2 linked regions of the Mus musculus genome follow. The protein of the gene in region 2 purifies or fractionates together with the protein of the main gene of each other region. This does not show direct contact. Links are inferred from orthologs where the notes say so. Each region holds a gene or a part of one and is shown on either strand. Other genes may lie near its edges.

Region 1 (4,816 bases), on a different chromosome or scaffold from region 2:
AGTGAGTGACGAGCCCTGGGAGGGGCTTTGACAACACCAGGCTATCTAGCAGCAGAGAAATGTAATCAACACGGATCCTGCCCAGGCTTTGCCTTCATGATCACGTACTGTACCTCCTGCTAACCCCAGCTGAGACTGAGTGCCAGTTAAGGAAGACTTCTTAGTATCTCATAGCTTTCGGAGTCCAGAACTGTCTCTCTGTACCTTCTAGAAGCCCCATCTGCACGTCCCAGCCCTTCCCATCCTCCTGATACTTAGCACTGAATGTCAGTAGCCCTTGAAAAACTGAAACTCCCAACTGAAACTACTCTCTCGTCTTCAACCCCTCACAAAGAACCAAAGGCTTCACAGACATCTTCCATGCATGGTCAAAGGGAAACCTGGAAGAACGGCAACTCTGATCCGACATACAGCTCCTTACAGGCACTTGCTGTGCGACTGAGTCCTTGACACCTCCCACCATCCACATGTAGGCCTGGGCTGAGCCAGGGCTGGACTCTGCTGAGTGGCCACTCTGGAAGCTTCTAGGGCACATTTTTCTTGCTTACCCTCTCAATCCTTCTCCCATCTGGGTTTTGCTTAGACATTTTGCAAGAAACACCATTTAATGGGCCTGTAGGGTATGGATGACATCGGGTGGGCACTGTGCAGTTTCAAAGGTGAAGTAAATGTGACACCTACTGTCCCCTTGCGGTGTGCACACACACAGGCAGTACCCTACTGAGCCTGTGCCTCTTTCCTCAGCAGGTGGCAAGAGTCCACCCTGGCTTTGCAAAGCGCTGCCTATGTCTGAATCCACCTAGGAAAATGTATTGTTCCCCATATGGGACAGCGCACCTAACCAGATCATTTGCAGAACACTTTCTCATGGCTCTCCATCTCCCTTGAGATCTGCAACTCTTGAGAAATAAAACAATTTAATGGCTTCTTTGATGTATAGACAACAGAAAGACAAACATTTCTCTCCATGCATGATACAATGAAATTCAGGGACAAGAGACCATCCAAGGACAGGAGCCATGGTACTCCGGTCCCCATTGGCCTTGTGTCATATGGTCCAACTTTATGGCTCAGCAGCTGCAGTCACAGGGGAGAGGTGGGAGGCCTTACGGCCTCCTGGGATGGGAGTAAGGTGACAGCTGCTGAATATGCCGGCATGCATGGGCACTGCCATGCACTGGTGGACCAGGAGCCGAGGAGAGGGGAACAGGCTTCCAGGTGGACTCTGGAGATGACTGTGGGCTCAGGGGCACCACAACAGTTCCTGAGACTGGGGCTAGGCCAAGCTAAAGTACTGGCACTGGAGGAACTGGGAATGGGGACCACAGCATCCTAGAGCGAAGGCTGAGCGCTGGATCATACTTTCCTCGCACCCACTGAGCTCTTGATGACACAGCTTCGTCTCCCGTAAGCATCCTTAAGATGTGGAGCTGGGAGGAATGGTGAAGACAGGAGGGATGAATTCCACCCAATCATGTGGCCACCTCAAATGTCTCTGTTCCCTTCTGCCTTCCCTCCCCTCCCCTCTACCCCCCAGAGACCTACAGAGACCCAATCACACTCCCTCGTTATAACAGTCGAGTACATTTCTAGAGAGGGAGAAGGATAAACGCCATGGGCATTTGAAGGGAAGACCCAGGGAAGACTGCAGTGAGCCCCAGAAGCTGGTAGCCATGGCCCAGGTCTCTGATGCAATCATGGCAACCATCTAACTGAGCATCTTGTGTCGGTCGAAGACCGTCTTCCGCTGCTCCTGCACCTGCAGCTTCCACCGCTGCTGAGCGCCTTCCACCCGCTCCAGGACAGTGTTTGCCCGGGGTCCTCCAATGGACGCAGCGGCTGTTGCCATGGTGCGAGCATCCTGCATTGGAATAAGAAGGGAAACGATCTGAATGAGGATGGAGGGGTCAGGGCTCTGGATCCTTAAAGTCTGGCATGGAACCAAGTACCCCAGTGAGCACTTCTAAAGTCTGAATTCCCCAAGGGCTGTGGGCTCCATGAGGGCCTTGCCTGGTCATCTGAAGACCTCAATGGTGTGCCTAGCCAGAAAGCTTTGGTGTCTTTAAGAGTCAGGAGCATCTTCTGGGGCCCAAGCAATTCCAGCAGAGCTGGCTCAAGTCTAGGTCTCACCCTAACCATTCCTAAGTCTCAGGAGAAGGACTGAATATTGGCTTCAAGACCTCATGTACACCGGCCAAGACTTCAAGAGCTATGTACCCAAATGCACAGGGCAGTTACTCAACTGCACACCTCCTCTCTCTGTCCTACTGCTCAGGGGACAAGAAGAAGGGCGCGCGCGCGCACACACACACACACACACACACACACACACACACACACACAGAGAGAGAGAGAGAGAGAGAGAGAGAGAGAGAGAGAGAGAGAGAGAGAGAGCGATTGATTGCTTCTCCTGAAAAAGAGAAGATGGGACATCCTTCAGAGCCTGGTAGGGGTGAAAGTCTAGGGTTAGGGTTCAACTCTAGCATTCCCATGTCATGGCCAGCTGCAGCAGTCAGCCAGTCCCATGCTTGGCAGATCTGCTCTCTCTCTCTCTCCCTCTGCTGGTTTTCCTGTCCCCCTTCCCCTTTGCTCTCAGACCCACTTCACCTTCTGTCGCTTCTGTCGTCAGTCTTCTCTTAATTATCACTCCTCTGCCTCTGAAGCTCCAGAGCCCATGCATTTCCTGCAGGACCCAGAGCTGATCTCTGGGGGGAGAATTAGAGCCGAGGGCCAGGCCCACAGCCCGTGGGGATTTCCTCCCTAGCTCTCCCCGCCTCTCATCTCCTGCCACATATCTCTTAAAGGATTAGTGCACCCCTCTAAGCCCAGAGCCGCCCAGTAAATGCAACTTTGCTTCTAATGCCCCGAGCTGGCATAGCTTCTGTCACTGCAGCTGCCAGCTTGAGAGTGGGGTGGGGCAGGAGGGTATAGAGAGGCTGGCAGGGCAGAGAGGAGGCTGGGGTCAAAGGGCTGGGATAGCCTTATCCTTGAAGCACAGTGCTGGGCGATTTGTCCTGAGCTCACTTGCTCCTAAGGTGACTTATAGATGGTCCCCTGGGAGTCCATGCTCAAGACTGAGTGGGTGCCATGGGCAGGCCAGGTGAGGTCCAGGCCTGTCACCCCAGCTACCCAGGAAGCAGAAACAGGAGGATAGCAAGTTCAAGGCCAGTGGCAACCACTTAGTGAGATGCTGTCTCAGGACAGAAGCTAACCATGCCTGTGGCTGTAGGACAATTTCTAGCAACATGCCCAAACCCAGAAGCAAACCCAAAGAAAAACAAAAATCCTAGTCATGTCTCACAAAATTCCTTTAGAGATCTGATGTGCTCAAGTACCATTGTGTGACTACAAGATGTGTTTGTCATGGGGAGAACCATTTGTCAAGAGAACTGGCAAGCACAGATCGGAGCTCAAGGGCCCTTCTCCCTGGGAGTTCAGCACAGCCGACTCAAAAAAACCTGGCTTTGACTCCTACCAGACACATGGCCTTAGGTGGGTCAGAACCAACCTCTCTCATACAGGATGGAGACTGAGGTGGTCTCAAGGACACAATGAATACAGAAACTTGGTCAGCTTCTGGAGATAGAAAGCACTCAAGGTCAGTGCTGGGAATCACTGAGGCAGAGAAGGGGGAAAGGCAGGTTGACTACTGTCAGGGGAGCTGCCTCTGAGCATCACTGTGGCCTACACCACCACCTCACTCCACCCCTCCCCAGACTGGCTGCGCTGCCTAAGTGGCCCAACCAAGAAAGCAGCTTGGCTCAGACTGCTCTTAGCATGGCTGTAGGGTAGGGGTGGGCACCGAAGACCTGCCCGCCTGAGTAACAGCTCGCCCCCCCCCCCAGGACCCCAGTCTAGCTTCGGGGGGGGGGGGGGGGCGAGGGCTGCTTTCTTCCACAATCCTACTCCTGCCCATTTCTAGGCCGTGTTGCCCTGGAGGGCTCTGGTTAATGAGTGCCTGGGGGTAAAACTGGGAGAGCAGGCCTGGGGTCATCTTGGGGCATGCTGGAGCTGGTGAGAATGCAGCAGCTCTGCTCTTGGGTTGTCTGAGGAAGTGGGAGCTGGACAGAGCCGGAGCAGTGTCAAGGGAGCATGTTGTAACTCACCACATTGCCACGGCTCCACTTGGGAGCGCTCAGGTGAAGTCGCAGCAAACAGCTCTCAAGTGCGAGAAAGCTGCTGCTGAGAGCCTCTGTGTCCCCATGGCTGACAGTCTGATTAAAAGGTATTAGAGTAGCCACATCTATTCCCTAAGAAGACCCACAGATGGCCTCAGGCCTGCCTGCTCGGCAGGTGAATGGGGATGAGGGTGGGGCAGCAAGGAAAGTCTTCCCTTTAGCCTCCCTTCTCCCATCAGGTCTGGGCTGAGGAATGCAGGGAGGCGGGGGACAGTGAGGGCAGGGGATGGATGGAGCCCCTCTCACAGTGGGGCATGAATGTTGACAATTCCCTAGAGGTCCCCAGGTAACCAGACTGATGTCACCCTGACAAGCAGATACCACTCACTATACACCGGTCTCTTTCCCAGGTACTTCACACTCCTACGGCAAGTGGCTAATATCACCTCCATCTTTTGCACAACTTAGACTCTGAAGGAGAAATTGCCTCGCAAACCAAGGTCACCTAATTTCATGGGACCACATTTGAACTTGTTCACACCCCTGGATCTCCTGTCTTAGGACTCAGTTGCTTTTGCTTTTGGCTGGATTTTCCCAAGAGGAAATCAAATGGACAACCAGAGAAGCAGGCACACCTCACCCCAGAGTTAGATCAAAGACAGGTAGCTGCAGGTTACTTGTGGCCAGAGGCTCCCCTC
Region 2 (5,490 bases):
AATCACCCCATGTGTGTGGAGGGCATAAACGAAGCTGGCACACAGAAGCAGCTTTGATTTGGGGCTCAGGTATAGAGCTTTAGATAAAGGCCTACCTGGATCCAACATTTCATATCTACTCCAGGGTTCCCAAGAATGCAGAGCTCTGGATTCACTCCACAGTCCAGATCCACACAGTGATGATCAGGGTTTGAGCTTATGGAAGCATGGCTTCTTTTGAAATTCATCTAACGTTTAGTCTTCTCCCATGACCCTATCTTTTTTCTCTGTGAGATGACCATTTTTTTTCCTGTTAGGTTTTGTATTAAAATAAGCCCAAAACTTCATTGTGTTTGATTATAGCTTTATCTCTGGAAGCTTTGCATGGCTTGGGCTCAGATACAGGTTTTATATTTCCAAACCCTTAACTTATCCAAAGTAGGCATTCAAAATTCACTGAGCATACATGGCCTTACTGAATTTTGCTCCCTTGTGTTAACATTGCTGATCTGCCAGGCAAGATGTGCCTACTGGTGTAATAGTGGCATGTTGATGGCCACTTTCTGATTGAAACCTTTATCACAGGAGAGAATTTTATGCCTGATACTGTAACTCCATGTCTGGGTCACTCCTTGGGTAGAACCTGCTATTTTAATTTAGCTAAATGATTGCCTTCCAAATATTAGTGTCTATAGCTATAGATCTGGGCTGTTCTCAACTTTGGTCTGAGGAGCTTCTTTTTGCCATGAAACACAGAAACTCACAACTGGCCAAAGTTCTGAGAAGAGACTGAGTGCTCAGCCCGAAGTCTAAATGACAGAATTCTCAACCCTACCCCCACCCCCAATTAGGCCTAAGGGCCATCTTAGAAGAGGAGATTGAAAGAATGCAGGAGCTGGAGGATGCACAGGAGTGCTGTAAAAGACTGTCCTTTGTCCACAAGGTCACTGACTCCTGAACAAGACCAAGCCACCAACATTCCTACAGAGATGGGAGAGGTGATATCCAGACTCTATTTCTTACTGAGATTCCATTGGTAGTTGATAGCTTCCCACCTGGGGAGAGAGAATTGCTCTTCTTTGAGGGTGTGACCTCTGGTAGGTTTTTCCTGGTCTGTCGAATGGTCCCACACTCTTGCAAATATGGGCAGCACTAACTGGATTTATTGGGTTACTAACACAAGAAATTTGAAATTATGAGGGGAGGTGTTGGGGGAAATATGGATTTCTTGGGGAGAATTGGAGGGAGCAAATGGAAGCGTATAAGATTATAGTTTATTGTATACTTGTATAAACTTCTCAAAGAAAAAAAAAGTCTACGGGTGTGGCACAGGTCTACAATCCCAGCGCTTGGGAGGCAGAAGCAGCTGAGTATCTGTGATCCCAAGGCCAGTTTAGTTTACATGGTGAGTTTCAGGCATCCAAGGCTAAATAGTGAGTCCCTGTTGCAAGAAAAAAAAATACTATTTACTACAGTGGATTTTGAATTTGAATACTTGGCTTCTAGGTAGATTACTTGTGTTGATGATGTGGATTCCAATCTTAGTTCTTGCAATAAATTAATAGCTGCACTCCATTTGTATAACCTGTTCATTCCTCACAAGGATAGGATAGTTCTTCTAATTATTCGGAATGGCTTTGGAGACAGAGAGACCTCAGTTGGAATCTGAGCTTTATTTTGTGTTTTGTTTGTCTGTTTTTGAGACAGCATCCTGCCTTCAAACTTACAATATAGCCTAGGATGACCTCGCATCGATTCTCCTGCCTTCAACCTCAAAGAATCGGGATTAGAAGTATATGTCACCTTGAGTTTTCGCTTGACAATGATTAAATTGGCAATAATACCTATAAGTAACTGCAGTATAGATTTCCCTGTGTTGGATTAAATTGGCCCCTGCAAGCACTACTGTATTTGATCACTATTCTTATTGCTACTACAGTGTGAGATTGGAAAAGCTATGTAACCTTTCTGAGCCTCTGTATTTTTATGAGGGAAAACGGATAATGACACACTCTTCATGAGTTCTTGTGAGCATTAAATGAAACGAATAAAGTATATTAGCCAGAACAATGCCTGGCATAAGGGAGGCTTAAATTTGTGGTCTGATGTCCGCTGTGGGCAAGATACTCAGGATAAACAGTTTGTTCTAAAGACAAAAGCAAAACCAAGGTAGGCAATCTGCAAACAATGAAACCGAAGGGAGCATTGCTTTTTTTTTCCCCCAAATGCAACTGACACGCCCCGCATTTGGGTTGGATCCGCCCAGTCCTCATTAAATATGGCTGCAAGCCCGACTACCCTATTGCGGTTGCGCATGCCGAAGCTCCTCCCAGCTGCTGCTTCTCGGTGGCGCTTTCCCCCCTGGCCGGCCCGAGGTGCCTGGAGCGGGCCCTCCGTGGCGCGCATGCGCAGACGCCGTCTTGGCAGAGCTAATACTCCAAGGCGCCTGTCACATGAGCCTCGCTCCCGCTCCGCTCCCCCTCCTCCCGGCTGGGCTGTGTGAATGAAGCTCTGCCGGCTACGTGGGGCGCTAGCTCTACTCGCCGTGTGGAACGCCAGAGCCGACTGAGCGCGCTGCCCACCGCCGGTGGACACGGGCTCCGCCGCGCCGGACCTCGGTGACAGGTAAAGGCAAATGGGCTTCCCTTCCCCAACAGGTCCTTCCCGGCTCACCGGCCGCCGGCCCACCCGAGGAGCCCCCCGGTACGGCGAGCAGGGAAGAACGCTCGCCTGCCACCGCGGTCCCCGGAGCTGGCGTTCCCTCTGCCCGGCCGCCACTGAAGGAGGTGGTGGACAGCCTGGTTCCTGCCAGAGCGGGGCGGCATCTCCTCGGCAGCCCAGCCCTGTTCTGGGGAGCAGGGTCCCCAGGCTGCCGATCGAAGTTTCCTTGCCAAGCGGCGCCAAGCCCACCCAGCTTTGAAAGCGGGGAGCTTGGCTGCCCGCGTCGCTTCTCCAGAGGACAGGGCTGGGGCGGCGTTCGCTGGGAAAGCGCAGCCGAGGCCAGGTTCGGCTTGCTCCTGCTTTGGACCCGCCACAGGTTTCTAGGGCTTCTTAGCGAAGTGCAGTCCAGACGGTCTGGGCGAAGAAGTTGGTGTGCGTTTTCGCCCTTTGCCGCCCAATGCGCTTAAGCTGCTGCTTCCAGAGGTTGGAGCCCCGCGCTCCAGCTCCTTTCCAAGTAATGGAAAGAAAGCTTTAGCTTTAGCTTAACTTTGACGTGCTTTTTACCTTTATGAACGTTTCAGAACAAATCAGTTGACTGAAGTTGGACGGGTGGCCCTGTGATAACGTCAGTGGAAGCTGCGCCGAGTAAATGAGGGGAAAGCCAGAAGGTGAAGCATTAAAAACCAGTGAGACTCCCCTTTACACATACTTCATAAATGTATTAGTAATTTCCCGGGTTGAATTTCAGAGCTGTTAAATTTCCCCTTGTTCCACGACGTGCTGATCAGTAAGTACTTCTTAACAGTAAAATAGGAGGGGGATGGGGAGTCGACTTAAACTGAGCCATGTTCCAGGTAAACTCATTGGAGCACTTTTCCCTGGTGAATTCATCCTTAGAGTTTAAGCTCTCTTTTTCTTGGATTTCAGGAGCCTCTCCTCATCCAAAGCCCAGTCTTTGTTGGAGTTTTGAGGACTGGCGCACACACGAACCCTTTTTGTTCTTTAAAGAAAAAGAGGTCATTAAAGAGGGCCAACACTATTCTCCAACTAGTATTAGCCTTAAGCGTTTGGGCTTTAGCTTTCCCACTTCAGAGTTGCACACGTTGGTTATGTAAAAATCAATGGAAGTAGGAATTCACCTCAGGACAAAAAGGTGAGGGCCTTTCTGGAAAAAAATACAAATTAGCTTTTATGCCCAATGAGGGAAATAAATTATTAAAAAACTTGTTTAAATGTACTGGGTGCTTAATATATGAAACTTCCAAACCAAACTAAGACACCCCCTCCCAAACTGGTAATCACACCCGTTAATTTTTCCTTTGCTTTCTAACTCCTGTCATATAACTGGAAACTATTGTTTTGAGACTGAATTTAAAAATTCCAAATTGATCAATACCGTTGTGTGTGTGTGTGTGTGTATGTGTGTGTGTGTGTGTGTGTGTGTGTGCGCGCACGCATGCTCATGGGTGGGAGCTTAGCTTTATATAGTCACTTCTTTCTTCCCATCTTTACTGGAATTCTTGGGATTGAAGTCAGCCTTGAGCGCCAAGCTCTTTTTAACTGAGGAGCCTTCTCAACAGCTTTGGGTTTGAAAATGCATCTCTGGGAGTTAGCTAACTTACTTTGATTGTATTAATATTAATATTCTAGTTTTATGTTTTTCTTTGTCCTTGACTCATTCCCTCATTATACAAACAATAGAATATGTTCACGATAGGAATTTTGCAAAACGAGGAAAGTATAAAATAAAGTGGAACGGAAGAGCCAGTCCCCCCCTCCCCAAACTGGTATCATCGCTTCTTACTTTTTATTACGCTCCCTTTTTTGTCTGTAAGGTTTATTTTAATACTTTATTCACAGAGTCTTCTGTGTTTTCTACTGAGGTGTTCATGTAACACTGCACCTTTATGGACAGAGGAAGAATTCATGCACCGGAGTGTGGAACTTTAAGATAGGCTATCACAATTCACCTCAACCAACCCTTTACTCAACCCAGGATGAGTGTCCAGCCCCATTTACAGCTCCAACCCCAGTGATTCACACAGGATCCTACAGTAGTGAATGACAGTGTTAACTGATGGTAGAGCTCCACTCTCTCACCAGCAATACCTCACTGCTGCGAAGGGGGGAAACTTGACGCTGCTTATGTATGCTGTCTTTGAAAGAGAGGTTGCGGGGGCAGGGGCTCAGTTTCAAGAATTTGAAATTGTTCTCTTGCAATTTTTATTCTTCTGTTTTATTTTCAGGTTTGGGGCCTTAGAATCTTGCAGAAAGCAGAATCACACACTTGCATCTCCATCTATACCCTCCTTTAAGTCCCCCTCCAAAACTTGGGGGGGGGAGCACTGGAAAGCTCTGAGCCTGTGACCCCAGTGTGGGAGAAGATAGGTACAAGATGGCCATGTGGCAGGGTAAGAAATTAACACTTATTCCTCTAACTGGTTTTTCCTCCTGCTGTCTTCCACCCCCACCCCACCCCCAGTGCCAGTAGCTGCCAGGCAGCTGTTTCTTTAATTTAACCCTTTCTTTACCAGGGTGGTGCACATTCATTTAAGAGAAGCTAGAATATTCAAATGATTCTCAAGTGGATGTTAGTGGGAAGCATTGAGAAGAATTTCCTTCAATTAAATATGTATTTCTGGGGATTATTTGTGAGGGGATGATCCATTTCCCCCCTATTTGTGGTTTTCATTTGTTTCAATCAAATTCATTTTGTAAGATTCTTGGAAATCGGGGGAGACACACTTTGCTGCCTCTCAAGCTTCCTCTTGTCAATGAAGACTTTTGTGGGCGGGGCGGGGGCGGGAGCGGGGCGTGGCATTGAATAGCTCATTGAATCTTATGTGTATA

Evidence for each region. Proteins that work in one complex are often made in the same cells at the same time.
Region 1: the proteins of Clcn5 (region 2) and Tmem9 purify together in Homo sapiens (co-immunoprecipitation; 3 studies listed by BioGRID and IntAct, with this or other methods). This does not show direct contact. The link is inferred for Mus musculus from reciprocal best matches to the Homo sapiens genes CLCN5 and TMEM9.

What each region holds. Positions count from the first base shown.
Region 1 is NC_000067.6:136,031,113-136,035,928, reverse strand, and holds the end of Tmem9 (transmembrane protein 9 precursor), read right to left. Parts: intron 1,862-4,816; coding exon 1,709-1,861; 3' UTR 899-1,708; downstream 1-898. UniProt on the Homo sapiens protein: Transmembrane protein that binds to and facilitates the assembly of lysosomal proton-transporting V-type ATPase (v-ATPase), resulting in enhanced lysosomal acidification and trafficking.
Region 2 is NC_000086.7:7,316,220-7,321,709, reverse strand, and holds the start of Clcn5 (H(+)/Cl(-) exchange transporter 5), read left to right. Parts: upstream 1-2,351; 5' UTR 2,352-2,604; intron 2,605-3,221; exon of another isoform or gene 3,222-3,326; intron 3,327-4,886; 5' UTR 4,887-5,035; coding exon 5,036-5,051; intron 5,052-5,490. UniProt on the Homo sapiens protein: Proton-coupled chloride transporter. Functions as antiport system and exchanges chloride ions against protons. Important for normal acidification of the endosome lumen. May play an important role in renal tubular function.